Linked DNA regions of Oryzias latipes. The protein of the gene in region 6 purifies or fractionates together with the protein of the main gene of each other region. This does not show direct contact. Links are inferred from orthologs where the notes say so. Each region holds a gene or a part of one and is shown on either strand. Other genes may lie near its edges.

Region 1 (4,233 bases), about 15 Mb from region 6:
GAACCAGAACCTGCGACAGCAATGCAAGGTTTAGAGACGAACGCATCAACTGTGGATGCCATAAAGACGGCGGTGACGGCGGGTCACACGGAGGAGCTGCGGGTTAATGTGGTAAAAACTCTGGTTTCAGACTCACTGTGGGCGCGGGGGCCACTACGCCCATGTGAACTGGGATCATGGGAGTACCTGGAAACAGCAGAGGGAAAAGGTTGGTGTAGATTTTGCTTTCATCCACACTGAATCCTAACTTCTAGGACTGTTTCACCCAGAAAGTTCCCTCAGTTCCAAGCTGTGAGTGTAAAGCCAACAGGGTGGAGCGGACGCTCACACATCTAAGACAAAGAGGCCCTTCAGAGGAGACAGAGGCAGACAGAAACCTGTTTCCCCTCAAACTATGGGAATCCAGTCCTCATGAAGACAGTGATCCACGGTGAGCCTCAAACACAACTGGACTTTAACGATGAATCCGTGAATTGATTTATGATTCCAACCAGACAGAGTTAATGGAATTGGCCCACACTGTTATAAAATGGTTTCAAAATGAGATCAAATACTATTTGGATTGAGGTACAGCCGGTTTATTTTACTAGAAGGTTTAATCGACCAATCACAGCGGACAACACATTTGTGATGTCATTAACACGGAATGTTAATGACATGTTGTCATTAACAACATGTCTAATGTGCTAGAATGTTCTAAGAATGTTCCCTTTGGATTCTTTGGATGTGGAAAAACAACAGTGGTGAAATTTAGGAAACTAACATGTGAATGGATTTGACATTCATTCTAGTTTACTTGTTTGTTTGGACACAGATTTCATTTCCACTTGATGATCTGGAAGAAATCCAAGAATCTGGAAAACTGTTCAGTAGCAGGAATTTCTGTCTGGAAGTTTGGATGAAGAGGATCTGGATCTACTTTAGCTCAGTGAACCGGAGCGTTCAGAATGAACAAATATTGAATATAAACATATCGTCAGCCACAAATTGTGATATGAAATGCAGCATTAAAATGAATGATTACACTTCTACTGGTTCAGAAAATACAAATAAAAATGGAAAGAATTTAAAAAACCCAGCAGCTTCTAAACCTGTGGGTCACTTGGTACGGGACAACAGACACAGAAAACAAAACCAAAAAACTTACAGAAAGTTATTACAGTTATTACTATTAATTTATTTCTGTTTGGAGGATTTATTCATTCTGAAGGAAGTTTTATTTTGGAAAACTATAGGATTCTGTGCACCACATCCCTTTATGCTTTACTGCATATCAAGACGTTCTCCTCGGTCACGTGTCAAATACATTTGGTACTTTCTTAAAGCCTCCAATCCTAAATTTAATGCCCGAAGACAGCAAAGTTAATAAAAAACAAACGGAGGAAAAGATCCAGAGAGGAAACCGAAGAAGAGTCTTCAACTTCAAAATAAAAGAAATCTTTTAGTTGTGTCATTGCTAGGACATAGTTTCTGCAGAGCGACAGGAGTTCAATAGAAATTCACCCCCCACACACTTCCCGCCACCCATCTGTTTACAAGCTCTCCTGCTAGCTTACAGCGCCTCACAACCCCATGCTAACACGGGCGGTGCAACAAAAATGGCGAGCAATATCAACCTACACCTGTAAATATGGAGCTTGTGGCTCCGCCCAGCGTATTTTCTACATCACCTTTGCAAAGAGCATTTTTTAATCTGTTCCTAATTCACAATAATTTGAATAGAGAAATACTCAGAAATGCAATCATGAGTTTAAGTTTCTTTAAATATGTCAGAAAAATGCTACAACATGTTAAAAACACCAGTTTGATGGGAGGGGGTCTCTAAAGGTTAACGGTGAGCTTCTACTTCAATGTTTAGTAGTTTAGCCTCCCGTGAGGAATTTCAACATCAATGGATTTGAATGGATTTCCTTTTTCCCAAATTAGCCTCCATTCTTACCTGATTTTTTCACCTGGAATCAGGTGAACAACATTGCTTATAATATGGATGCCTACAGGCAGGGGGGCAAATGCGCATGTCTACAGATCTGAGGCTCCTGTCAAAACTGAAATCCCAGCATGAATAAAGCATTTATGACGGCTACCACCACAAAAAACGGTGTGGATTTTTATTCAAGTTCATCTAAATCTACCAATTATCGAATTTCATTCATCTCCCCGTCAAATCACGTGGTGAACTGCAGTGCTTCCCAACGCGATGCTTGACTCCAGATCCAACACAAGCTGGGGGGGGGGGGGGGGTCACAGGTGTGCGGCGGTTCTCGGTACCTGGTGGAACTGGAGGGGCGAAGCCTCCGTACTGCGGCGGGGGGATCCCTGGGGGAAGCTGGGGGAGGCCGACCTGCGGCCGGTTCATCGGAGGCGGGTAAGACATTCCTGGAGGAGACCGCCTGCAAGACCGAGACAAGAGGAGGTTAGCGGGAAGGAGTGGAGCTTCTTCCACTGGTCACCGTCACAGCGACCAGCTCAAACTGACAGAATAAACTGACAAATCGATGAGATTAAAAGACTAGCTAGCTTGTAAACTGCTAGCCTCAGACGGCTAAGTCCGGCCTTGCTGCTAGACGTTAGCATCGGCGGTCATGAAGAACGCGCTCACCCACCTTCAGTCAAGTATTCCGTTAAAAAGAGGACACGGCTAACACGGCTGATTATCCTCGTAAAAAACCCATTAAATGCAGCAAAAGGACCGATTCCGGGAGAATTAGCAGGCTAAATTAGACACCGGTTCACTGCGGGAGCTCCCGTGGTTCGAGGCTAACGGAGCTATTCTTTCCGAAAAGGATTATGGGACATCTGGGTTCAGCTCGGGTTGTTTTTTTCTTAATACCCTGAGTGAGGTCTTACAGGCAGCAGCTCCTGCATCAAACACTTTAAAATCGTCAAATTTGCCTTAATTCTGTTGGATTTGTTTTATTTAATTTTTCATTTAACAAAAAATACAAACATAGTTATGTCAATGTCCTTTAATAGAGACTTCATTCTAATTCAAACTGAGAGTATGTGAAATAAAAGGATAATTCATGTAGAAATAAAAGATTTTCCAAAATTATAACTGAAAAAGCAATTTAGGATCTTTAAATACTAGAAATACTAGAAAAAAGCTCCGTAATTAAATTAGCCATTTTTTTTAAATAAATGTCTGGATAGAATGATAACTCAAGCTGGCTCACTGGGGGAGCATACAGGAGAAATTGAAAAAAAAATGGCTTAGTTTGGAGTTCCACAAGGTAGCTACTCTGGTCCGCCTTTATTGTCATTGACAAATTTGTCGGTCAGATGGATAACAAAAAGCTGGACCTTGGCAAATGCTGCAGTACTAAACCAACAACAACAAAAACTCTGACCATGTTTTTTGGACTAAAAAGGTCGGAAAAAACCCTCAAGTACAGGAAACTACACAGAAAAAAAATCCAGCTGGGATTTGAACCTTTCATTGTAGTGATTGTGCTGCCCACTACACACCACCAAGACGTTAGAAATGAGAGCGAACTCTGGTTTGCCTTACAGAAGAGATCCAGGGAAAAATACGATGGTGCAGATAAGAAAAAAAATCTCAGCAGTTCATATTTTCCGCCGCTCGGTGGCGCCAAAATCCACACTTTGGCCTTTGGAAATTGATTTCGAACCTGTGTCCTGGAGCAAGATGTGAACGTCCATCGCCGTTACTGTTTGCAGCTGCGTCAGTCTAACATGAGCTCAGCAGCGAAACAGTTGTTGCTCAAATCCACTTTCTTCTGTATTCTAGAAATGTCATTTTATTGACATTCTACGGTTTTCAGCAGCTAGAATTATGAGGAATAATTCAACACAAACACTAAAACCTATTTTTAAAGTAATTTATTTTGTATTTTTGTCTTTGATGAGTGTTACACAATCAGTGCTTTAATATGTTTTCAGACTCTGTTCTGCCAGCAGCTACAGGAATGACACAAATACAGTAAACTAAGTTTGTGATTCAACCCCATGTGTGTGTTTGTGTCTTTGTGTGTGAGTGTAGTGTGTGAGTATTTGAGCGCATGCGTTTGTTTTTTTGTGCGAGGTTATGCAAGTTTGTTGATAGGTTTGACTGTATCCCTGAGTGTGCGTGAGTTTGTGTGTTTCTGTGCGTGAACTTGAGTGTGTATTTGCTTCTGTGTGTGTGTTTGAGGTTTCGTGAGTGTGTTCAAGTGTGTGTCTGTTTTTAAGTGGGTGTGAGGTGGTGTGTGTGTAAGTGTTTGTGTGTATGTTGGT
Region 2 (4,195 bases), on a different chromosome or scaffold from region 6:
TCAAAGTCGAAAGTTCAAATAAGCCATTTTGGAGCTCTAAAGTTTGAATTGTAAAAATACAGAAGTTACAAGAACACCACTGTATCTGTTTTGGTATCCAGTAACAAAGCCATTCTAACTTCTTAACCTCTGCACCTACTAACACAAAAATGAGGCATCCATACAGGTTTCTGTTAAAGAGACTGGTCCATCAAATTGACCAAACAAAAAGCATTTACTGTTTTTGGACAGTTTGGAAAAGTCTGAAATGCTTTTTTTCTTTCCTTTCAGGCTTATACTTACAAAATTGTTTTTTTGATTTTCCTAAAAAAAAAAAAAAAAGCTGATCCAGTCATGTTTTCTGACAACATAGAAACCAATGGCAATCCTCACCATCACCCCTGGTCTATTGGCAAAAGGTTGCTGTCATCATGGCTTCCGGTTAGGTCAGCCAAGGATCAAGAGGGGGGCAAAGGTCACACACACATTGTAAGGTGAAAGCCAAGGCCAAACGGGACAGGCAGTCATCTTAGCCAGTCATCTTTAGCCTCAATGGACTCTCAGCCTCAGCCCGCAACAGGACTCTTTCAAATTGAAACATCAAGGACTTCTGTTAATGTTTAATATATAAAAAAATATATATATGCCAAGGTTAACAAACACATTTCATAAAAATGTTAGTGAAGTCCTAAAAAAAAAAGAAAAAGACCAGCAAAGACTACACTAGCTACGTTTGCAGTCATTTGTGTGTAAACATTTCTAATCAAACTAATTTTACAATTTAACATCATTAATCAAAACATTTTAAAGAACTCCACAACTTTTTTTTTTACTTTTACTTGGATACATAGCATTACTCTTAAAAGTGCCCTGAGTTCAGAATAGCAGTTTATTCCTCATTGAAATGAAGATTTGACTCCGTGCAAAGTTTTGATCAGGGAGAAAACGGTTCACAATAAACTGACACAATGGAAATTATCAAATTATCAAAGAAAAGACGAGTGCAGTCCATCAGAGTGAAGATAAGATTTGAGAAAGCACTAACGCCTGATTTAAAACAGGGTTCCTACAGGTATGCTCACAGTTTACCAAAATACAATACATTATCTTCAACTGGATTCTATTAATAAATTGCTCCTTTAGCATTCATCTACTTTTGATTTAAAAATTAAAAAAATTACTTTTAGTTTTTAGAGCTTTGCATGGTCAAGCTCAGAAGTACATATCTGACCTTTTAAAATATCTGACCTTAAACATCTGACCTTAAACCTGCTTTAAAACTAGATGAGATCTCTCATTTCAAGCCGTTGCTCTTCATCTTTGGAACTCCCATCGTTGTTGCATCAGAGGGGCTCCGTAGAGTGTTTTAAATCTCAGGTCAAGACGTTTTTAATCAGGAGAGCTTTTAGTTGATTTTAGAACTTATTTTACTATGTTTACAGTGTTTTGTTTTATTATTTTATTACTTTTGTGTTTTGATTTGATGCTTCTGCTGTAAAGCACTTTGAGATTCTTTCTGGGAAAAGTGCTATATAAATAAAGATATTCTATTCTACAATACGATTTAAATCAGGTTGAACTGAGTAGACATATGTTGATTCAATGTAGCTTGAACACCATAAGGACGAACCTAAACACAAATAGGGGAAGGGTAACACCTCTTGGGCAGTAGCCTTCAACCTTGGTCCTCAGGATCTACCACCTTGGTTATTTTCTAGACATTCGTGTCGTACCTACTTTGATTATCTTAGATTAGATGTGCTCAGTTGATTAAAAAAAACCTTTAGCAGGTATATAAGTGAAAAACTAAGCAAGGTAGTAGATTTGGAGAAACAAAGTTAAGGTTGTTTTAATGTTAGATCTGCAAGCTAAAAGATTCAGAAAGAAACAAGGAACCCTGTAATAAAGCATAACTGATTTAATACGCAAGTAGTTGAGGTGGTACAAAAATAAATGAGTTTTTTTTGCTACAGAAAAAGATACAAACAATAACCCAATTAACGAGCAAAAAAACTGTAACACTGTTAAAAGGGCTTTATTACATTATCAATCACCTGAGCAGCTCACATTGTAACCTCACTGATGGAGGAGAAGAAGAGACGTGGTATCTTTAAATAACTGCACTTACTGCGCCCACCACCCCAGGAGGAACCCCCACCGTAGCCGTCTCGGTCTCGCCGCGGTCCCCGGGCATGCTCGACAATCACCCGCTCCCCACACAGCTCCTTCCCGTTCAGCTCGTACACAGCATCGTCAGCATCCCTGTTATCCTCGAACTCAACGAAGCCATAGCTGTGGAAAGAAGAATCACAATTTCATTTCACTAATAAGAACATTATTTGAGTGAGGATAAATTCAATTAGCCGACGTTAGCTTAGCAAATGTAGCAAATAACGACGCCATGTTTGACATATGAGAATCTAAAAAGAAATCAGAGAAAATGGACGTTTTACCCTCAATCCGGTATTTATTTTAACACTGACAGGAATCCTTAAGCGATATGTAACGGTGACTGAATATGTACGCGCACAGTTCAAACGCGTTCACCTCATGTCTGCAGCTACGCCGTAGACATGCCCAGGTGTCTTAGCGTTAGCCAAACATGTGCGATTTTATCTCTAGAACTTACCCATTTTTCATATCGACTTCCAGTAATTTACCGTATCCGCTAAAAAATCGTTGAATATCTTTTTCACGAACATGATAGCTTAAACGACCTATGTAAACACGAGGCATCTTTTTTTTTTTTACTGAACTTGTTCTCGACTGTTCCACCAAATAGCTACACGCTACTGTAGCTAGCTTCTTCTGTGGTGGGCGTTCACTAAGTTCCAGAAACAGCCAATCAACGACAAGATAAGCTATTTCCGGTTCCTGTACTGCAGTTCTTACTTCCTGTCCTTTTTTGTAATTTCTTTTTCATCATTATTATTTTTTGGTTAAGAACAGAGCAGTAAACAAAGAGTTTATTGAAAGAACACGGTCACACAATGACATATAATCAGGGTGTTGTAAAATTTCACATAGAAAATACATACACACATTAAAATCTATTATCTTGTGTTCCGAAGATTGCACAATAAATTCAACGGGGCTTGATGGTTTATTAATTATGGAGCATTGACTGTTCTCATGTACAATCAATGTTATGTTGTCCAAACATATACGTTTTTCACCTGCAAACCAATAGCCGCCAATTAAAAGTATTTAACTTTTCCAAAAACTAGTAGAAACAATCTGGAACTATCTTATTTCCCCCAGTTCTTTAGTCATCTGATTGATGTAGATTTTTATTAGTAGTAGTATTATTTAGATGTGTTTGTGTCAAATTTTGTGTTCTAGCTCTGCATTTCACATATTTATAGGCTGCCTTTACATTAACAAAACATTGGTCCTCATTATTAGGTTTACTACGAGAGTTGCTAAAAGGAAGCAAATATCCGATTTTTAACCAACCTTGGTGCACAAAAACAACTGATAAGCTATTTATGCGACAAAAAATAATTAAGTATAATATTATACAAGATTTACTGAGAAATGTAGCTTCAAATATTCAGGGGAAAAACCTATCATATATAAAGATCTTTAAAGCTTTCACTATCATTCATAAATGTAGTTTACACAATACAAGTAAATCACAAATAAACCTTAACCCTTGGTAAATTGTATTATTTTTCTTGAGGTCCAAAGCCATTTACAGTTTTCTCTTTTGCCGCCTTTAACCAGAGTTGTAAAGATCCATTGAGTAATTTCTCATATTTTATATCAGAGTAATACCAATTTGTATCTTTATTATTCATTCGTTCATCTTCTGGTGTTTTATCTTGGGGTCACGGGGCTGCCAGAGCAAGGCAAGGGACACCCTGGACCGATCGCCAGTATTGCAGAGCCACAATCACACACCCATTCACTCTCAGGGACAGAGAGTGTTAGAGTTCCCAACTGACCTATGGAGCATGTTTTTGGATGGTGGGAGGAAGCCGGAGACCCTGGAGAGAACCCACACATGCACAGATTGAACATGCAAACTCCACAGAGAAAGGTCCCCCATTGTTCTGTGTCAGGTCCCCAAGCAGGGGGGGAGGCAAGAGTGCCACCGTGCAGCCCGTTTCTTTATCCTGCACTGTGTTATGAAGAAGTATATTATAAATTCTAAACAAAAAAAATCATTTTTAAAATTTTAGTGACTATGTTATGTTTTCTTAGAAAAAAATAT
Region 3 (4,156 bases), about 15 Mb from region 6:
AGGGGGTGGAGTGTGTGCCCGACTCAACACCGCCCCCCCAGCTCCATCAGCCACAGACAAAGACCCAAATGGGAGTGTAGGGGACCGTGGATTTGAGGGGGTTTACAGCAGTCGCCAGCCCACAGAACCTCCAGCCTGTGGCTACGGACCTCCTAAGGCTACTGAATCCTGCGCTAGACCACTTTCACCCGCTAGGGGGCCCAGCCAAGACTTTAGACCAGCAGCAACTGCGTGTAAGGAGAGGCACCAAATGAAAACTATTGAGTACAACAGCCAGCAGAGGGCGCTACACACTTGTGACACCCCACAGGAGGGTGTTTACCTTTGATACAAAGGCAGCTGATACAGTAGCTGTTACAAAACACATTTTAACAGTTGTGGTTAGAATGACCAACTGAGGTGAAGACTGACTACTGATATTTTACCAATTTAACAATGCCAGCTACATGTTTGATAGTTATTCTAATCTAAAAAAAATCTGAATTTAGTTAGAGACTATGTTGCTTCTCTTACCTGCCAGCTGATCCGGGAGGACAGATTCTCAACAATGAGCCTGTGTTCTGTCCGCACAGGTGGGCCGTACCTGTGAAACATCAGTGAAAGGGACCACAGATATTAGTGGGGTTTTCTGAGTGTCTGAAGCCCCACACTGTCACAAAAACACCTTTTTCAAAACGGTCTGTTTTTGTCTGCTCCTGATTCTCAACGATTTGAACAAAGAAAAACTCAGAAATGCAACTTTTAGGTTTGACTTAGTTTCAATACGTCCTCCATCACCAGAAAAATGCCACAAGAACATGTTAAAAACACTAAAAACAGGAGACGGAGTCTATCTCACATTGATGACCTCCTTTAAGGACTTCAATGGAAAACAGGTCCCAACCTAAAAACAAATGTTTCCAAATTTGTTTCTCAAAGCCACAAAGTCTTCAAAACTGCTTGACTTTTCTTCCAGAAATACTTTCTATACTGTAATGTTTACTGTGCTCACACACAAGTAGTTTTTTTCTTTTTTAAATCAGAGCTTTTTGAACCTGACATACCTGGATCCAGTGTTGCGGGACTGTCGATAACCCCCACCAAAACGTGCCATACCCGGGGGTCCGCCCCCTCTTCCTCTCCTGGAGCGAGCATGTTCAATAGTAACCCTGACGAAGAGCAGGCAAACACCACAATGAGCTTTTAGTCGATATTATGACCCTAATGTTCCTTCATGTGTTCATGAGGATCGATAGAGTTTTATCTTTTCTTCATAAAATTACTGAAAGAGGGAAGTACTTGCTAGCATTTTGAAAGTATTGCTATAGCAACCTTTACGCAAGCCTCCGGGGGAAAACTCTTTGCTTCTCAGAAACAGAACCTTACCTTTCACTCAACAGCTCTTTGCCATTTAGTTCATAAACTGCATCATCTGCATCTCTGTGGTCATCAAATTCCTAGGGGGAGAAAAAAAATAAACACTTTTAGAAGATCTGAGGAAGGAAAGCAGGAAAAAGTTTCTACCGAAGCCGCCATACGAACCACAAAGCCAAATCCGTTCTTCAGGTTGATCTCCCGGATTCTTCCGTAACCCTTAAAGAACTTCTCCACGTCTCTCTCTCGGGCCTGAGGGCTCAAGCGGCCGATGAAGACGCGACTTCCACTCATGGTATCTGTAGAAAAAAGGGTGAAGATTTAAACACTCTGCTTCCATCTGAAGCTCCTAACATCTTTTGATCCATTTACAAAGTGTCCCCAATGGTCTTTTAATTATGATTATGCCACTTTTAGCCAAATATCAGGAAACCTGTGCCGTTTTCTAGGACATTTTTATTGTAGACCATCTGTTTACATCCTCTCCCACTAGCTTACAGCCCTTCACAACCCTTAACATTGCTAGTGCAACAACAATGGTGTGCAATATCCGGCTGATCCCTGCAGAGATGAGCTAAACAAAGACGTACATGGATCCATTTGTCTACAGGGGGAGGCATCAGAATGGGACCCACCGTCTGTAGCACCTACGTCACTGCTACGGGCTTTTTCAGACGCCATCTTTTTCGTCTGCTCCCGGTTCACAACCATTTGAATAAAGAAAGCTTATATTATTTTTTTTTAAATACATGCTCTCCATTATTGTAAAATTACCAAAAGAACATGTTAAAATCACAAATTTTAAAGAAGTGGGTCTTTAACGCGGAGAAAAACGACAAAACACGAAACTAAAAAGTCTCGAGACACACGAAGTAAAAAAAAAAAAAGACCAAAATATATAAATATATTTCTATTGTTTAATCTTCCAAAGCACTTTTTAAGGATCGATCATTCTGTGGAAAGCTTAGATTTTCGCTTTACATAAACTTTTTTTTTTTGGGGCCTAGTGATCGCGCGCTGTCCTTCACCAGCCAACAAAAACCATTATGTGGCGCAGTCCTTCAACACTAAACATTTAACTCGACAAATGACAATATATGAACAACTACGCGCTGTAATAACCCATTTCTATTGTCGAAAACTAATTTCTATCGTCGAATTTATTCATTTATCTCGAAATATTTGTAGGGGTTTTAGATCCTGCGTCAACGTACGTCTGTTGCCTCGAGGTCGTTGGTTTAGCCGACGCCATTTAGCATTAAAACCTCAAATAACTTCCAACAAAACACAGTAATCCGTAAATCTATCTCTTATATTTTGTTATATTTGCTTACCAATGGTTGCTTTGTCGTGGGTGCGTCTTTACTCGGTTTGTTTTTTAGCAGCAACTAAAAGTAGGTCAAGCTCTGACTGAGAGAAAATGGCGACTGAGCTTTTGGAGCAGGAAATAGGAAACCCCGTTGCTGTTTTGAGCAGCAACGGGGTTGCCAGACAATGGCTCAGTGGTGTAATTGTATCCCTCAAGTGAAACTTTTGTTTTTGTTAATATAGAATGTAAAACAACTGGCTGATACATTATTTTATTAAATTATGAACTTTTTAGAAGAAAAAATAAGACACATGCTTAATCAAATACGTGTTTTTTTGTGGATTAGTTGAAAAACGTTTTAACGTATCTGGCAACCCAGATCTGCGCAAAGCTGTAAATCATGTTGCATTTGCTGTTCCTCGGAATTACTAACTATAACTTTAAAACAGTCATCACAATGTACTTTTCAGCCGTATATTCTGTGTCTTTTTAGCTAAAATTTTATAAATAAATAAATTAAAACATTTACTTTGAAAATATTTAGGTAGATTTTGAACATGTATTTGGAAAAAGACGTACGTTTACTTTATTATACTAGATAGAAAATATAAAAAAAAAAGACTTTGATTTTAGAGCTTTAATCCTTTTGTTTATTTGTGGAAGGCACCCTAATTTCGGATGAAGGAAGGGTAGTAAATCAACTTCAAATGTTCACTTTTAAAAATGGAAAAACAAAACTCAGAACACAAAGTTCCGAGTTTTGTCATCTCGTGAAGGCAGCATTCCTTTAGGACTTTAACTTGCACTGTAAATAGCCCTCCTCTCTGCAGTCCATCCTTGCCTCAGTCATCACAGTATCTTTATGTGCTGTTGAACCCATAACAGGTGGAGTTCCTCTGCCTTCAATGCAAAAATGTCTCGAATTTATTCTAAATAGCAGTTAGGTAATAAAACCTTCAACATTATTCACGAGTTGCCAAAGTCAACAAGAAAATCCGTTTTTTTTTGCTTCACCTTTGCCACACCCTCAACCTTCATTTGAAATTATTACTGAGAGAAGCTCTGGGCAGATTTTTTACCTATAACGGTGAAGTCTGATTAGATTAAATATACACTACGGAGATTAATTTGCTTTTTTCACAAACATAATTGAGTATTGAGTATATTTCAGAGTCAAATTGGCTTCTGGTTGATGATGTGAATCAAATCCACGACAGAAATTAGCAGAGCGGTAAAAGTCTTATTGCGTCCTTGATGAAAATCTAGAGTCAAAATCACAATTTACTGGAAAATTAACTGGTGTTTTTACAAAATATCTTTCAAGCCAGATGTACATTTTGATTTAAGAAATTCTGCGTAATTTTGATCAAACAAACCATTTAGTTGCCTTTAACATGTAAAAGGTGGAATATTTTAAATTGTAAAAACAAAGCGAAGACACTGAACCGGGTCAATTTCTTTAATTATAATCACAATCAGTCTTGAAATGCTTGT
Region 4 (4,268 bases), on a different chromosome or scaffold from region 6:
TGAAGTCTCAGAGATGTCAGGTGCTCCAAACCGGAGAAAGGCTGCTCCTGATTTTTGGTCCCTGAGACCCAGAAGCATCTCCGTCTCTGAGGCCGGCCCCAAACCTCTCAGAGAGCTCGTAGTTTAGGACGGTCTGCCAGAACTTCAGCCATGACGGCGGCTTTGACTGACCAGGGTCATTCAGGAAGTGCAGTCACGCCGGAACTCAACTACAGCATTCCCATCGCGGGAGTTGCCTTCTAAAATAACCGGCCACAGGTGAAATCCACAAGCTAGCTGTCAACATTTCCAGACTTTTCTCTTAAAGTTCAAGCCTTCGTAGAAAAATCCGTCCAGGATTCTAGAATGAAAAAGATCTGATGGCGACGAAGAGCAAAAACACCAACAGCCAAGCAAAGATGTGTGGTGGTGAGATGAAGACCTCCCCATGCGCTACAGAGACCACCACCCCCACCCCCCAAAAGCTCTGCTCCCCCACGAATCTGGAATGTTAAAGCAGAAATCTGAAACCATTCTCTGCAGTGACACTAGCAACACTACAGACATGAATTTAAAGTTCTGACCCTGCTAGCGGTTCTGCTGAAGATTCTGCTGAAGGTTCTTCCTAACCTTCACTTAGAACATCTCCATGTCACCGTTAAAATTCACTGAAGTGTTGCTTTAAACGTCCTAAACAGGAAGTGGTGACATCGCGGCCCGATGGCGTCAAATGGACTTTTCAAATCTGACACATTAAGCCGAAAACACGACCACTGAAAGGAAAGGTGACCTTCAAGTGTGTCTGGAACAGGTGGTTCCAACCTGGAAGGACCAACCCTTCCTGCTCCTTCAACACATTTCAGACGTAACCAAAGGTGCCAGAGTTATTCTGATGACCAGCAGGTGAGCTTTCAGCTCAGACAGAGCTGCTTTGCAGGTACAGAAGACGCTGAACAGCAGAGGACCTCACCTTTGTTCAGCATCTCATCAGCTTCATCCAACACCAGCATCTTGATAGCTCTGGTCCTGAGACTGCGGCGCCGAATCATGTCTGTAAAGAGACGCCGTCAGCATTCCCGTTTGTGCCACTTTTGCCATAAAACCCATTGAACCCACCAAAAACCCGTCCAGGGGTGCCAGCTACCACGTGCTGGCCGTAGTCCAGCTTGCGAATGTCCTCGCCCACGTTGGTTCCTCCGATGCAGGCGTGACACTGAACGTTCATGTAGTCTCCCAGAGCCAGCAGCACCTGCACACAGGACACCGTGACTGGCACCGCCGCCTCTACCTTACAAGCCTTTGGCTGAACATGGCGGTGGAGGCGGGGCTACCTTCTGAATCTGTCCGGCCAGCTCTCTGGTTGGAGCAAGAATTAGAGCCTGGGTCTCCCTGACCTGCAGAAGGAACAGCATCACCACCGAGCTGCAAACGGGTTCTGGCCCGTCTGTCACGGGACACAAGAACAGCAAGAACTCACCTGGATGTCCAGACACTGCAGGACGGAAATACAGAAAGTGGCCGTCTTTCCTGTTCCAGACTGGGACCTGAATGCAGCACAGATCACACGTTACAGCATGGAGGACCAGAGCACCTGCATGTTTTCCAGCCCAGACTTACTGAGCGATGACATCTCTGCCTTTGATGATCTGCTTGATGGCTCTCTGCTGAATGGCTGAAGGCTTCTCGAAACCTGTAACAGAACCAGAACCTGGTCAGGTGCTGTCCATCTTCATTTCCACATAGAGAAACCTCATCTGAGAAGTTCCCATGCTGCTCAAACTGAGGGGGACCAAAGTGGGAAGTTCTGGTGATGCTGACCAGAAAGAAAAGTTTTAGTCCCACAGAAAGGATTTCTATGGAGAAACTGGGTTTTAGGGGTAAAGAAGGATCCTCTCAAGCACAATAGTCCAGGAAAATGTAGAGAATTCATCTTTATCAGTGCAACACTTCAATATTACTGTAGATACAAATCTGATCGATTCTGTCTATTGGGATTTCTCCCGTCCTTTTGGGTCCAGATAATATGTTCATAAAATGTTCTGCCGTCTGGAGAAGACAGAACACATGAACAGAAACAAAATTAAAATACACATTAAGACAGAAGTGTTGACATATATTTATTAATAGTTCTGGGGGAAATTAGTAAAATATTCGCTACATATACGAAGCCATATAGGATGGGAACCGTCTAACTCCTGGATCATGACTGTTACGAGCAACAATACCAACAAAGATCGTGTCCAGGCATTACTGAACGAAACCCGCAAATTTTAGTATCTGGTTTTCGTTTAGTAAATAATCAACACGAATTTAAACTAATTTCATGTCAGCGCGGCCGCACGCGGCCTTAGCATGCTAGCATGAAGGCTAAAAAGATGAAGTTTTTCTTCCCGCCAACGACAAAATGATCAGGTCACACCAATCTACCCGCTTTAATGTAAGTTATTACGGGATGTAGTCTGATACCAACTACGTTTTCATTCCTTTTTTAAGGTGAACTGAACCACACAGCGGATTTAGGCTTAGCATCTGGAGGCGGAGGCCTCTCGAATCCACCGGCCTACCGTAGGCGTAGATTCCCCGGAGCAGGTCCTCACGGAGCCCCATGGTGTCGAAGGTAGGGGTGACATCCACCTCTTCACTGGTTTCAAACTCCACCTTGGTCATGTCCTCCTCCTTCAGGAGTCTTCTCCTGCCCGGTGTCCCAGCAGCGGCCATGACGGTCGTGTCTGTCTTCAAAACGAATCGGTAGTCTCCGCAAAAGGGGGGTAACCGCTTTGCTAGCTACTAACAGCGCTCCACGTGTCGCTCTGCTTACGTCATCAGCAGGCGACCAGGTTTATCAGGCGGAAGAGCAATTGTTTTTCGTTTGGAAAAAACATTTGAGGTTTACAATATTGTGGCAGCTGTATAAAGTGTCAAACCACAATTAAAACAGATGTAACCAACTTCCTGGATCTTTTATTTTGGGAGAGGTGTGTCCCTCCCGGGTTACCCTAATTGACCAGCTGGCCAAGATGTTGTTGTCCCATGGGGGGGGAATGGGATGACCATTTGAAATCTGTTGCTTTTGCTTACAACATCTCCAAGCACACCAGCACACGGTTTACTCCCTTTTATCTTATGCACGGGCGCGAAGCCCGGACCCCGGCAGAGGTTCTCATTCCTAGTGGGGTTGGTGGCATTGGCAGTGCAGCCACGCTGCCTTTATACGCGTCGTCTCTTGTGGAGCGGCTGGAGATTGCTTTCAGTGCAGCGAGGGTTAATGCAGCAGAGGCGCAGGAGAAACAGAAACTGTACCATGATGAGAACTCTCACCACAAGGGCTTTACAGAGGGTGCTCTGGTCTGGCTTAATAACCCAACAGAGGGCCGCACAAAACTAGCACCGCACTGGAAAGGTCCCTATCGTGTGGATCGGGTTCTGGCTTCAGGTGCAGAGGCCGCTTTGACATATCGCATTGTCAACCCCCTGGATATGTCTGAGCGGGCCCAGGTTGTTCATCATGACAGGTTAAAACGTTACACTCTTCCCCTGCCTGCTGGTTCCCCAAACGACAGTATGTCCACCCCGCCATCATCCTCTCCTTCGGCGGGTACTTCATTGGACCCCCCAGATAATGGTGATCCACCCCAACAGGGTCAGAGGGACGCGTTTGGGACAGCCCCTGCACACTCCCGCAGTGGCAGAATGGTGCGTGCTCCAACACGTTATCAGGACTTTATTAGGATGTAACAATACAGAGTTATGTCACAGTGAAATTTTTGTTGGTGTTGTGAGGAGACTGTCATATGTTGTTGTGTTTTCCTTCCTTGAAAGATTCTGTTGAATAATATGCTGTTGGTTGGCAGGCAATGTTGTATTATTATTCAGATTTTTTTTTTTCCTCTCCCTCCTGTGGTGGGAAATTTGCCGGTGGGTTCTGTAAACTCATGTTGTTCCTGTTTGGTTGACTTTTGTTGACGCCATATTGGGTCTCGAATGTTTATTTCTTAATTCATTTATTTTATTTATTTTTTTGCACTCCCCGGCCTGTTGCATTTCCTGTAGAAATTGTAGAAATGAGGACATTTCTTTTGAAAGGGTGGACGTATGTAACCAACTTCCTGGATCTTTTATTTTGGGAGAGGTGTGTCCCTCCCGGGTTACCCTAGAGACCAGGGGGCGTGGCAAGTTAAATTTGGGAGAGTAGAAGAAGAAGAATAAAGAATTGGTGAGCGGATCCACTAAATGGCGGACCTGTTGTCCCGTGTCGTTTATGACCACAGAGTGAATGATTATTGAACCTC
Region 5 (4,254 bases), on a different chromosome or scaffold from region 6:
TCTTGCCCTGTGTGTTGGCCAGGCGAGCCCTGGCTTCAGACAGCATCTCCAGCTCGTCTGCAAACACAGAAGCACAGCTGCTCCTTAAAGGCAGACTTCACAAAGTTCCACAAAGAATGAGAGGGCAGTTTTCACTGTAGCTGCAGAGCTGTAGAGATTCTGTACCTTCGTCCATGTCCACGGGGTCCGGTCTGGCAGGTTTGGTCTCAGGATTTGGGTCGATCTCTCCTGGTTTCAACTTCCTCGGATCATCTCCCACCTCTTCCTCATTGTCTCTCTGTGCAGCTTTGTCTCTAAACAGAAAGCCCACCCCCTTCACACACACTCCACCACCTGGTTATGGTCATTCCAGAAGAAAGTCAGACTTACAGCAGGTACTCGTAGTGCTCCAGACACTGGGCAGCAGTACGTCCTATGATGGGAGCGATGGTCCTCCACTGCGTCGGCATCAGCTTGGCCAGATGAAGCAGCTTCTCCTCCTCCTCTCTGGACCACTCCGTTTTCTTAATGCTGGGGTCCAACCACTCGTACCTGCAGACATGCAGGGTAAAACAAAATCCATCCGTTCATCTGCCTATAAAGCTGCCACCATTATGAAAATGGAAGATGTGTTTCGGCATCAAACTCACCATCTGGCTTTGCACTGTTTGGCAGACTTGCGGTGCAGCAGGGAGGCGATGCGGGACCACTGGTTTTTCCCATATTTCATTACCGCCGCCTTGAGGATCTCATCCTGAACAAACAAACAAATAATCAACAAAGACTTCACTAAACAACAAACGACTTACTGCTTTGGTTAGCAGTTGTCATTTTATGAATCAATGAATCACGCGCCTTATACTGTCTACATTTAACAGGTGAGCCCTGCCCACCCAGATCCATCCTGCAGGCCATAAATACATTACATTATCTCCTAATATTAGTTGCCATTAACTGCCCGTGTTCTTTTGTATACAGTGATGAAAGTCAGGCAAGGAAAAAATCCCTGAACTTTTCTTTGAGCGATATGGCGGCGCAGAGAGAAATTTTTGAAAAATACATAGTCTTAGATGCATTCTGGTGCATTCTGGCAGCTCGTTATTCACTTCTTAATCAAGAAACTAAGACTAATTGGAGCATCATCATTTGTCATTCAAACCCCTAGTTTGACTTAACATTAAGGACTTCCTGGTCCTAAAAAAGAATTTGGATCATTGCTCAAAGTATAACAATCCTACAATCTAAGCTTTTCCTAAAATCTGCAAAAGATACAATTGCTAAAATATAGTAACATCAAAGCCCCAAATGGCAAAAAGAACACCAGTAACTATGATATTCTATGAAAATACCTCAGTTATTTATACATTATTTCTGCTTTAGAAATGACTGATGTACAACATTCACTTGCACTGTTTTCTCAAACTATAATTACATCAAAATATGGGATCTGCTTTAAACTATAATTCTATAACATAATACATCAATTCTTTAACACCAATACTAAGTAATCTGGGAAATATCAAAACAAACATACAAACTAAATTAAATATTGTAAACATTATTTTTTAAGGGAGTGCGGGTCCAAACCATCAAATACTTATAATTAATGTCAACTATACTGAACTAAATCATGGTAATTAGGAAATACAAATAAATTAGATAGAGAAATGTATTCAAAATAAAAACTGAAACTCAAAACTAAAACTGAAATTATTTCTGAATTTGGTTTTGAGATTATTTTACACAAAAAAGTATTTGACCTACACTACCTTAAAAATATTTTTCTTCCAGCCAAGACCACTTCAATTTGTTTTTTATCGTCTTCTCACAACTGAGGTCGTGACCACGCTCAATAATGACGATGCCTGCCATTATTTTAACACAAATTTGATCGCAAACTCTTTAGATTTGTTTGTGAAAGTTTAGCGTGGGTCAGCCAGTTTTGGTCTCTAGGGAAGCAAGTCACGCTGACCACGTGGTGCAGACAGAGCCAATCAGACCCGTCGACGCATCCGAAAGCAACTAAAACGTCCCGTCATTGGTCAATTAGGCCGGGAAGACGAGAGATGGCCGCGACCATATAGGAAGCGATCCGCGGAGAAATATAGAAAATAAAGCTAAAATTCGCCGATTTCAGACCATTTTTTCATCCGGAAAGCGATTTGTCCGTAAAGATCAGGTCTTTATTTCCCGGAAAGTACGTTCGGTTTGCTCAAAAACCCGGATTTCCGGGAATTCCCGGAAGACTTTCATCACTGTGTATATAAATAAATAAAAATAAAAATTAAATAAAAAAGACATGGATGCTGATCTGCCTAAAGTTTCCCGGCTGCAGAGCGAGCAGCAGCAGCAAGTCTCCTCCCCGTGAAGAAGGCAGCGGACGTTCAGGACTAGCATAGAGGAAGACGGCTGCAAATGTTGCACTTTCACCACCTTCATCACCTTTTCCAACTAAAAACATCGATATCAAAAGTTAAATTCGCGGACAAAAGAGCGTGTACATAAACGTGCTGTGGAGAGTACGGCCTTTAGCTTTATGCTAACCTCCCGCCATTGGTTTAGGATTAGCCTAGGAGCATGCTAACAGTTAGCCATGTAAACACTTACCTCAGTGTTACGCCAAACCCCTCCTTTTATCATAATACGAGGCATCTTGATGGCTTGTTTTTGAATTCTCCGTCAACAAAATTAAATATTGCTTTAACACCCGCTATTCAGTCTAGCAGATTTTCCAGTTCTCCCTAAAAACTAGCAACACTACGAAGGAGAAACGACATGCACGGATACACCGGAAACTGTATTCTTACAAGTAGTCACCGAAAGGCACTGTGGGTAACGTAGTCTTATACCATGACTGTCTCATATGTATATATGTTATTTTAGGAAGCAGGAAAAATAATTACTTTGGGTAAATCTTAACCCTCCTACCCTTTTGCTATTAGTAGCAACAACAAAGCTGAGAAAAATGAGTCAAATGTCCCCAAAAATGTGTTTCTTACCAGATAAAATGACAAAACGGAAATCTAATTTAAAAAGATGTAATCATTACAATGTTATTTATTTTAAAAGTGTTCCATACATAAACCGAATACTACATACTTTGTAATGGTGCAATTATAAAACCTCTAAATAATGTCCTGCCTTCGCCCAACAGGAACCGGGATGGGCTCCGGCAACCCCGTGACCCCAGCAGGTCAACAAAATAGATGGAAGTTCAAAACAGAAGCGCTGGCATTGGATGTGTTCTCTACCCGCTGATTGTTTCACTGAAAACGGCACATACCCAAAGCTGAGTCCCTGATTGGTAAATGCGATGATTCTTAGGAAATATTTGCCCTATTCATTTATCAATTCATTATTTCTCATTGTATTTCCCCAATCAGTTAGGGGGGTCGGAGGTGTGAAAGAAGTGGGGGGTTGTGTGTAGAAGGGGGCCCTATTTTTCAATTTTTGTGACATTCCCATAAAAATTAGCGAGCTTCTAGTTGCAAAATTCTTTGCACAGGAGCTTGCCAATGACGACCGAGAAGTTAGATGATCGACGAAAATACCTTGTAGTTTTCGTGTGTAGCTGCTACTACAGGTTTTTTTCAAAGACCTCTTCCCGAGGCTAAAGGTCGACTTTTCTCATATTGTGGAAAAACATGAAAATTGCCACAATTTTGCCACAAACCAGCTGCCAAGCAGTGGGTTGTGTGGCCCACAATAATTTCAAAACGTCCTTTGGATATCCCCGACATGTGTTGTATGGTTTCCTTAGTGTATTTTGACTGTTTTTGTGCCTCCATTAGCGATTTTCGGCTCATTAATTTTTTATTATTATTTTTTTTATGGTTTCGCTTGCCATGCTGTCATCGACTTCATTTTTACCAGGTACTGGCGGTCTGCAAGTTTTGGTGAGTTTTCATGCATTTTTTTCAGAGCGGCTTTATGTCAGATCCAAACACTAAACATGAAATTTAATTAGTTTAATCACCTTTTAAATGAAAAAAGAGGACATGTAATAAAAATGTCAAGAACGTGTGAAAAAAAATGTAGAATAAATCAGCAAAGCAGAGTTTTACAAAATAAAACGTCCTTCATAATCAGATAAAAAATAAAATAAAAACACTGCCAAGTATGTATTTTTTCTCTCTGCTGCTTGGTACCAAGTGACCAGACTGGTACCAGTACTCATGATAAATCAATGAATGGATCAAATAGTTGGATCTGGTGGATATAACTAGTTTCCTTTTCTGCTTTAATGTTTGATATCAGAATAAACAGGCAGGTTTT
Region 6 (4,024 bases):
GTTGACGATGTTTGCAGTAAACCATCGGGATGGACGATGATATCGCCGGGGGATTTTTAATTTTTCATTATTATATAGTTATTATTCATTATTTCACTTTATTACTTCATTTATTTTATTTCCCAACTAATGACTCATCCGCGATGATCCAGTATAAACTGAGGGAAGTGACTTTAACAAACAAAATAGAAAATAAGTAGTCCGCTCCTGCACTTGATTAGTCAAGTGGACCGAGCGACCGTGTCTCTGAGGAGACGGACTTTGTGTTTGATGGGAGGATGCTTTGTTACGTGTGCGCTATGTGTGGGAGACTTCGGACTGCGATCTGTCCCACAGTTCTAGGTGAACAAGCTACCGGAATCAGGAGAACCGGGTCTAAAGTGTGTGTCCGGTCCAGAGCTCGGACCATCAGCTCACATAGCGGCTTTGGGGCGGTGTGTGAGCTTTTCAAAGCAGAAATGTCGCTCAGTCCTTAGAAACCGTTCAAACAATCACGTGGATTTGGGTTTCCAGTCGTGTCCCGACAAAGTAAAGGCTGATGTTATGCCCACATATTTACGTGCAGCCAAGATGCAGATTGCAGCGTTTCCCGCATGGATTTTATGTTCATCAAACAAGGCTAATGTTGTTAGCGCGTGTTAGCCTCTCTTAGTCCTGGCTTTTTCCAGCTTCGTTCTTCAACAGAAAAAAGCACTGACCACACAGATTTAAATTAAAATGATGAGCAAACAGGCGCTTCATAATAACCCTAACATTAATAAAAGCACGTTTGGAGGATATCTCGTATATTACCGAGCTGCCGGATATCTATGTATGTAGCCTCTCAGCGGAACTCATTTCCTCTTCCGGTATTTCAAACACTACTGCGCATGTGCGAAGGATTTATTCCAAATGAAAGTGTGACCATGTGAACGTTTGTTGTAATCAGAAATGTTTTTCTGGGCCCACGTACACGGTTGAATTCTAATCCGACCATTGATCCGATCAAGATATTTTGCACATGTAACCGCGGCTTATGGTGTCGACTCGCAGCGTGGCGGGGGCGTGGCATCACGATGGTGACATCTCCATGGAGAGACACCATCGGCACAACCGATGAACCAGAAATGCCATTTGAAGATGAATTTTCTTTCTATGGGTCCTCCAACATGATAAAAATGCCACAGGAACGTGTTAAAAAACAATTTTCCTTGGAGTGGGTCTTTAATGCCCATTTTACAGGCTATTACATGATCATAGTAAAAAGAGGTGGAGCAAGCTCCAAACATTTCCCTCCCCAACTATGTCCTCCCAGTCAAGACATGACTTTTCTCCAGGCAGGCTGTTTTTACATTTTAATGTTCCCATGCAGCCAGTGAACCAGCAGTTAACGTTAACTACTCTGTTCATCATGGGTGTGTCAAAGTTTGCAATAGTTGGTTCTTATTGGCTAAACTAAGCCAACTGAGTTATCACAAGTGGAACCAAGAAGGCCATCTATTGTGACATGGACACTTTATTAAAACAGTAAACAAGTTTGTAATAATTAAAAACCTAACCAAGTTAAAAACCTTTTTAAATTCTAACATTTCAATGTTATTTTATATATTTTATTATTATTGCAGACATGTACCTTTGAGACCAGTTGAGACAGCAGGAATAGCTGAGATTTATCAGTACAACCAAAATAAAAGTTCCATTTTCAAACTTTCAAAACTAGAAGTTTTGAAGATATGTAATGTACAATCAAAACACATCATATTCTGATATAACAAAAAAATACCTTCTTGTCCAGACATTCTGCAAATTTCAGCTGCTTCAGCAGTTTCTTCTGCTTGTTGCTGAAACGGTTGTCTTGCTCCGCACTTGTACCCTTTGGAATAATGAACCAGCAAGGTTTTAATAAGACAAAATGTAAAATACATGATACACCATGCATGTAGGAATCTTGTCCAGAAAACGTTTAAAGCACCGTTTAGTCAACAAACATTTTAGGCTAATAAACACAAATTTGCCTCGTTCAAAATTATTCGTTTACAACAGTGGAAAAGGGGGGCTCGACGCTGTGGTAGTAATCTGAGCTCGTGAATCTGGGTCATATCGTTGATACGCATAAATTAGCTTTTGCTAAGCTAACTGTCCTCTGAAGTCCTCGTGGCTAACCAAAGAGACACATTTACCGTCTCTGGTATAGAAAAATTCCGGAATTACATCGTTATGTGTTTAACAAAACAGTAAGAAGCCAAATGACTGTTGGCTAAAGTTCATATAATGACAACCGTGACTCTTTCGGGACGCACCGGTTAGGCGCCATCTTCGGAGAAGGCCAACAAGTTAGCTGTGGCTTGCTAGTTGTGTCTGGCCTAATTCCTGATAACTTGACAGCAGATGAATATCAGGTTTTAAAATACACCAACATAATAATATTACATTATTAGATCAAAAAGGCGTCGATATGTAGTGTGTCATTGCAAATTGTTTCTACGGCTTAGTTTAGAATAAAAACCTCAAAGGAGAACCAATGCTTATTTTCGCACCAGTTGATAGACGAAGCCCTGACTAAGCGTGCCAAATCTAGCCGAATGTCCCTCTCTGCCTATAATAATGCGTAGCATTTAAGGCACATATCAGATCAATATACAATTCAGCAAGACGGTTGCTACTGTCAGAAATAAGTTTACTCCACTTACGCGGAAAAATCCCGCGTCCATTATCGGGGAAAATGAATCGTTTCAGGAGCGGTTGAAAAAGACTTGCAAGGCTTCGGTGAAATCTGAAGGGAGAGCCGGATGAAGATAGCGCCTCGTCCGGAAAAGATGGGTACTGCACTCAATTTACAGTCTTCTTCTTGTGGTTCAAATGGCGGGAGGCACCAACGCCAAGGCTCATTACCGCCAACTACTGCGTTGGAGTGTGAGTCGGACTTAATAGACTAGTATAATAGACTTAGTACACTAATATACTTAATACACTAATAGACTTAATAGACCACTTAATAGATTTGGTCCTAGACTAGGTCCTAGTCTATTAAAAAAAACACATTGTCCTCAACAGTCTAGTTCTCTTAAAAAATCCAATAACAACTCAATTGAAATTATGCTCCCCTTCCAAAAGCCTCCTCAAACTCAGCCGCTCTGCCTCCGGCAACCGTACTCCATCCTCCACGTGCTTTCTTTCTTCCCCATACAATTCTCAGTAACACAAAATGTGCTCCACTGATTCTTCCCCTTTCCCACAATCACAGAGACCAGTGTGGATGTTTCCCCAGTAAATGTAATGTATTATTTAAAGCAGTGTGTCCCATCCTCAATCATGATATAATGATTTGATCTCTAGTGTTTGACTTAAGATGCACCTTTCCCTACCTTTTGTTGTATATTAAATATATGTCGTCCTTTCCTCTATCTTTCACATTGTTTCTGCCAGTCTTCCATAACACACCTCCTCATAATTGTCCTAACTTCTGTTCTTCCCAATGGAAATTCTATCTACACACCCTGTTTCAATGCCCGCTTTGCCAGAAAATCAGTTTTTATTCCACCCCCATGTGCTGGTACCCACATAATTCTGATACCGATATTCCATTTCTCCAGTCTCGACACAATCTCAAATCTCATACATTAGATCTGACCTGCTGTCGGAAGAAAAAGATTTCAAAGACATTACACCATCACCAATTCTTTTCTGCTCTAACATGCGTAAACTAAATGATATTGCCAACATTTCAACAGCAAAAACGCAAAGATCCTTTGATGGCTTAATTCCGACATACTTTCCTAATTTTGGGATACAGAAAGAAAAAACTGTCCTCTTTGTTACTGAATCTTCAGATCCATCTGGGAATGAGTGAAGCATGAACCGTATTCAACCTGTCTGCTGTGATTTCATCCCAATTCCCTTTGCTAACATCCATCTTCATATGGAGATAAAAATCAACTTGTACGGTTGGAAAAACCCAGAAAGGAGTGGTACAAAAACGTCTTAACTGGGTCCTATCATAAATCTTTGTTACTCTCTCCATATAGATAATTTCCAAGCAACACTT
Region 7 (3,961 bases), on a different chromosome or scaffold from region 6:
CACAGCAGGACGACACCAGGAACCAGCAGAATACCACATTATTTATAGTCTTTAAAAGAACATTGGACAGATTTGGAGTCACGTTGGAAATGACATTAGTCATAAAACTGGAAAAACAATCACATTTTCAGAAAAACAAACCATTTTGGGCTGTTATGACAACATGAAGCAGAACTTTATTTTTATAACACAATTTATTTTGTTTTTGAGAAATTTCATATATATAAAAGGAAATGGTCAAACTCTAAACTTGATTTTGAACACTTTTTGAATGAAATAATTAAATATAGTGAAAGTATCAAACAAATAAAAAAGAAAAAAGAAATTTCAACAAATGTAATATTTCAAAAGGTAATTTTTTTAATAAACTCTGCAGCTCATTGTTATTTTTTTGTTTTGCTTTTGTGATGTTCCGTACATTGTGCATTCCTTTCTTTTTTTCTTTCCTTATTGTTGACATTCATGCTTTTGTTGTTGTTTATGACTAAAACTTCAAAAACTGTTTTTTTTCTTTTTTACTTCTTTAAGATCCATTTATAGACTAAAGTACTGAATTGCGACATTTTTTCATCTGCTCCTGGTTCACAACGATTTGAATGAAGAAATACTTAGAAATGCAGTTTTAGGCCTAATTTTCTTCATAAATGTCCTCCAACATGAGAAAAATGCCACAAGAACATTTAAAAACACTAACAACACAATTCTCATCGCTGTTGGTCTTTAACTGCCACCTGTTCTCAGCTGCATTTGATTAGTTTTATGCAAAAGTTTACATCCACATTACTTTACATTCAGCTCTATTAATCTTTTTTTACTTATTGATCACTCCTTTAATACCTTTTTATGTTTCCTTTAATGTTTTATGTAAAGCCCTTTGTATTGTCTTTTTTTTAAATGTTCTCTACAAATAAACTTGACTTGTGTATAACCACTATTTAAGTATAAAAGGAAATTTTTAAAAAAAATCAACAATTTGTAATTATTTGTATAAATGAAAACAGCTGCAAATATTTTTTCTCCATGTATCTTTTGGAGAATTTGATACAACCAACAAACCCGGAAATGAACAGTCAGCGTAAATTGGCTGCTGTGAAACAGGCCTCTGCTGTGGCTAAACCGGTTTAAAATGTGCTGAAGTGATCTTCTCGGCGTTGTCCCGGGGAACACCGAACTGGCTTTTGATGTCGACGCTCGCGAGCGCGCACAGAGAAGCCCCGCCCCTCGCGGTGCAGCATCCTGGTCACTTTTTACAGTCGAACGTATTCTCCGTCACGCCATTTTCCACCGTCGGCTGGAGGCAGTGCATCGGCGAGACGGGTGCACGTGAAAAAGAGTTCTTCTCAGCGGTGAATTCCTTCGGCTCCGGTACAGGTAGTGCAGACATTCACGGACCTTCAGCGCCGTAGACACGTGCTTTAGCGCTAAAGGAAGCAGCCGCGTGCGCCATTGTCTGATCACGTCGTGTGTTGAACCCGCCGCCGCCGCAGGAGGAGAAGGCCGCGGAGTATCGACAGCCATTTTAGCTGCTTTTATTCACCCGTTTTCTCCGTTAGTGAAGTCTGTGTGTTTAAAAAAAAAGTCAAACTACAAAACTGAAATAGAGTTGCTAAGTGTGAGCTTAAAGCTACCGGTTATGGCTAACTTTACACGATCGTGTGGCTAAAGTTAGCATTTTATGCTAACTTTGGTAGAAATGTGGATCAGTTTTCTAAATGATGATCGCGTGTAGTGGAAACTCGATGCGTATTTAGACCCAGCCCACCAAAGTAAGAACATTTGTAACTATATTTATCGAAATCTTCGTTTGTTTATTGTGGCTCATTGAAAAACAGGTATTTGGAGCATCATTATCATCGGTGGCAGAGCAGAGGCGGATCTCCGGCCGTACTGTTAGTTTGGTCTGTCCTGGTTCATCCACGAAACCGATCAGTCGACTACAGTAGAATTGCTTGATTTGAAACCAGAAATGTAATCTATCATCTTCTTATATTTTTAGCTGATCCTTGTGTTTATAACCCCGTGGTTTTGATTATTCCAGATTCCATCATGCACCGTGACTGTCCCCTGGACTGTAAGGTCTACGTTGGAAATTTGGGCAACAATGGGAACAAAACCGAGTTGGAGCGCGCCTTTGGCTACTACGGACCTCTTCGTAGCGTCTGGGTGGCCAGGAACCCCCCAGGTTTCGCCTTCGTAGAGTTTGAAGATCCCAGAGATGCAACGGATGCGGTGCGAGAACTGGATGGAAGGTACGTCCCTCCCTGTGTGATTTTTGTAGGTACGGCCCGCAAAATCCTCCCAAACGGGTTTGTCTGGCCACCAGCAATTCCACAGAAATCAGCGTTTGGTATGAAATGAATGACAGGCGTGAATGTTGTCGCAGGACACTGTGCGGCTGCCGGGTGCGCGTGGAGCTGTCTAACGGGGAGAAGCGCAGCCGCAGTCGCGGCGCTCCTCCATCGTGGAGCAGGCGGCCGCGGGAACGGGACGACTACAGGCGGCGTAGCAGCCCGCCACCCAGGAGAAGGTAACCCAGGGGTTCTTTGATGGAAGGGATTTCTTAGCTTTATATCCTCTTATGTGATTTACTTTACAGTACATTTCCTGAGAACTGCTTTTGGGTTTCCAGTCTGGGTTGTTGTGTTGTTAATTTATCTTTTCTTTCTTTCTTTTTTGGTGACTGTTGACCTGTCTGCGCTTACTTTGTGCAACAAGGAAAACACACAAAATATTCAAATATTTGTCAAAAGTACATTGTGTAGAATGGGACTTTGGCTTTTAACAGCCAGAGTCCTTTTGTGTGTGTTTCGTGTGCACACCCAAATCTTTGTTTAGGAGTTTGACAGTGACAAGAGGTCATAAATAAAGTTTTTAGTTTGGAAAAAGAAGTAAATTTGTATAAAGTTTGGGGCGGGCGGTGTGAGGGGTAAAACTGCCAAATGTCTTTATATTTTTTTTTTACTTTTCATCTATATTAATAAGAATGAAACCCATTGCAGAACCACCACCATGCCTCTTCTCACCACCCTCAGTCAACTAGTCCTCTTTCAGCATCACGCGACTGCTGACCGTCGTGTCCCAATCAGCTTGGCTGGTGCTGTCACATGACCCAGGCTTGGCCAGTCGTCAGGTTGCACCAGCCCATTGGTTCCTCAGCATGCCGTTCTCAACCTCCTGCTCCTTCAGCCTTAAACCAAAGGGCAGCCACCCACTTCACATTCCCGACCAATCAGCGTAAAATGTTCCCAAATGTCTACAACCCACCAGCAGCAGCCGTCAGCTTACCAATTAAAGCAGGAAAAAAGCCACAACCAGCCCCCATCTGCCTGCCATCTAATCACCTTGCAGCATCTGTCCACTCCTATTCCGCCAATTCTACCTACGCGGCCGGCAGTCTGCCTTCCTTTCGTCATATCTAGCTTGTTGAAATCCAAAAAAACTAGTAAGTTTCCCTGCTTCATTCAGTACACTGCTGATTTCAGTTTTGAAAGTGAAGAGACAGCTGGTTTGAAGAGACTTTTATTGTTTAAACTCTAGCTTTGTCATCCACCATGTGAGTCTTTGTTTCAATGGGAGTGATCAGATAGATGGAGCCTGCTGTCAGAGGAGCTTGATGGTGCTGATGTTAGGGGATCTGGGCACATCGTAGGTCACAGCAGTCACAACTCTGTTAGCTGGAAAAAGGCTAGCTTCAGGTAAACGGGTCAGTGGGGGGGTTGATTAGTCAAACACAGAGCAGTTTACAACATTTGTTTCTTTTTTTTTTAGCACAAGAAAAATTTGCAGCCTGTTTCAGTAATTTTTTAAGCTATCTTCACACCGAATGGGATTCACACGTCGAAGGCGTCCAGTTTTGTGCTGACACGATCTGAGGTTCGGCAGCGGCGCCTCGGGCGGTGCATCCAGACTTCAAATGTCTAAACGTTGGCGTTGAATTCGTTAACCACCCAGGGACTTGCCT

Evidence for each region.
Region 1: the proteins of srrm1 (region 6) and RNA-binding protein 25 fractionate together in Homo sapiens (co-fractionation; 3 studies listed by BioGRID, with this or other methods). This does not show direct contact. The link is inferred for Oryzias latipes from reciprocal best matches to the Homo sapiens genes SRRM1 and RBM25.
Region 2: the proteins of srrm1 (region 6) and srsf6 purify together in Homo sapiens (affinity purification with western blotting; 3 studies listed by BioGRID and IntAct, with this or other methods). This does not show direct contact. The link is inferred for Oryzias latipes from reciprocal best matches to the Homo sapiens genes SRRM1 and SRSF6.
Region 3: the proteins of srrm1 (region 6) and srsf5 purify together in Homo sapiens (affinity purification with western blotting; 3 studies listed by BioGRID and IntAct, with this or other methods). This does not show direct contact. The link is inferred for Oryzias latipes from reciprocal best matches to the Homo sapiens genes SRRM1 and SRSF5.
Region 4: the proteins of srrm1 (region 6) and eif4a3 purify together in Homo sapiens (affinity purification with mass spectrometry; 3 studies listed by BioGRID and IntAct, with this or other methods). This does not show direct contact. The link is inferred for Oryzias latipes from reciprocal best matches to the Homo sapiens genes SRRM1 and EIF4A3.
Region 5: the proteins of srrm1 (region 6) and cdc5l purify together in Homo sapiens (affinity purification with mass spectrometry; 4 studies listed by BioGRID and IntAct, with this or other methods). This does not show direct contact. The link is inferred for Oryzias latipes from reciprocal best matches to the Homo sapiens genes SRRM1 and CDC5L.
Region 7: the proteins of srrm1 (region 6) and serine/arginine-rich splicing factor 3 purify together in Homo sapiens (affinity purification with mass spectrometry; 3 studies listed by BioGRID and IntAct, with this or other methods). This does not show direct contact. The link is inferred for Oryzias latipes from reciprocal best matches to the Homo sapiens genes SRRM1 and SRSF3.

What each region holds. Positions count from the first base shown.
Region 1 is NC_019880.2:1,888,585-1,892,817, reverse strand, and holds the start of RNA-binding protein 25, read right to left. Parts: upstream 2,801-4,233; 5' UTR 2,604-2,800; intron 2,391-2,603; 5' UTR 2,375-2,390; coding exon 2,269-2,374; intron 187-2,268; coding exon 137-186; intron 11-136; coding exon 1-10. UniProt on the Homo sapiens protein: RNA-binding protein that acts as a regulator of alternative pre-mRNA splicing. Involved in apoptotic cell death through the regulation of the apoptotic factor BCL2L1 isoform expression.
Region 2 is NC_019865.2:7,383,803-7,387,997, forward strand, and holds the start of srsf6 (serine/arginine-rich splicing factor 6), read right to left. Parts: upstream 2,801-4,195; 5' UTR 2,716-2,800; coding exon 2,609-2,715; intron 2,272-2,608; coding exon 2,108-2,271; intron 1-2,107. UniProt on the Homo sapiens protein: Plays a role in constitutive splicing and modulates the selection of alternative splice sites. Plays a role in the alternative splicing of MAPT/Tau exon 10. Binds to alternative exons of TNC pre-mRNA and promotes the expression of alternatively spliced TNC.
Region 3 is NC_019880.2:1,440,030-1,444,185, reverse strand, and holds the start of srsf5 (serine/arginine-rich splicing factor 5), read right to left. Parts: upstream 2,801-4,156; 5' UTR 2,688-2,800; intron 2,044-2,687; 5' UTR 2,035-2,043; coding exon 1,989-2,034; intron 1,653-1,988; coding exon 1,522-1,652; intron 1,437-1,521; coding exon 1,366-1,436; intron 1,149-1,365; coding exon 1,044-1,148; intron 584-1,043; coding exon 514-583; intron 1-513. UniProt on the Homo sapiens protein: Plays a role in constitutive splicing and can modulate the selection of alternative splice sites.
Region 4 is NC_019859.2:158,191-162,458, forward strand, and holds the start of eif4a3 (eukaryotic initiation factor 4A-III), read right to left. Parts: upstream 2,801-4,268; 5' UTR 2,698-2,800; coding exon 2,544-2,697; intron 1,670-2,543; coding exon 1,597-1,669; intron 1,524-1,596; coding exon 1,457-1,523; intron 1,374-1,456; coding exon 1,311-1,373; intron 1,229-1,310; coding exon 1,096-1,228; intron 1,031-1,095; coding exon 950-1,030; intron 1-949. UniProt on the Homo sapiens protein: ATP-dependent RNA helicase. Involved in pre-mRNA splicing as component of the spliceosome. Core component of the splicing-dependent multiprotein exon junction complex (EJC) deposited at splice junctions on mRNAs.
Region 5 is NC_019873.2:1,354,714-1,358,967, forward strand, and holds the start of cdc5l (cell division cycle 5-like protein), read right to left. Parts: upstream 2,801-4,254; 5' UTR 2,632-2,800; coding exon 2,587-2,631; intron 734-2,586; coding exon 630-733; intron 532-629; coding exon 370-531; intron 294-369; coding exon 166-293; intron 58-165; coding exon 1-57.
Region 6 is NC_019880.2:16,873,782-16,877,805, reverse strand, and holds the start of srrm1 (serine/arginine repetitive matrix protein 1), read right to left. Parts: upstream 2,801-4,024; 5' UTR 2,691-2,800; coding exon 2,670-2,690; intron 1,853-2,669; coding exon 1,763-1,852; intron 1-1,762. UniProt on the Homo sapiens protein: Part of pre- and post-splicing multiprotein mRNP complexes. As a component of the minor spliceosome, involved in the splicing of U12-type introns in pre-mRNAs. Involved in numerous pre-mRNA processing events.
Region 7 is NC_019863.2:2,322,580-2,326,540, reverse strand, and holds the start of serine/arginine-rich splicing factor 3, read left to right. Parts: upstream 1-1,161; 5' UTR 1,162-1,181; coding exon 1,182-1,371; intron 1,372-2,038; coding exon 2,039-2,249; intron 2,250-2,383; coding exon 2,384-2,527; intron 2,528-2,999; exon of another isoform or gene 3,000-3,961. UniProt on the Homo sapiens protein: Splicing factor, which binds the consensus motif 5'-C[ACU][AU]C[ACU][AC]C-3' within pre-mRNA and promotes specific exons inclusion during alternative splicing.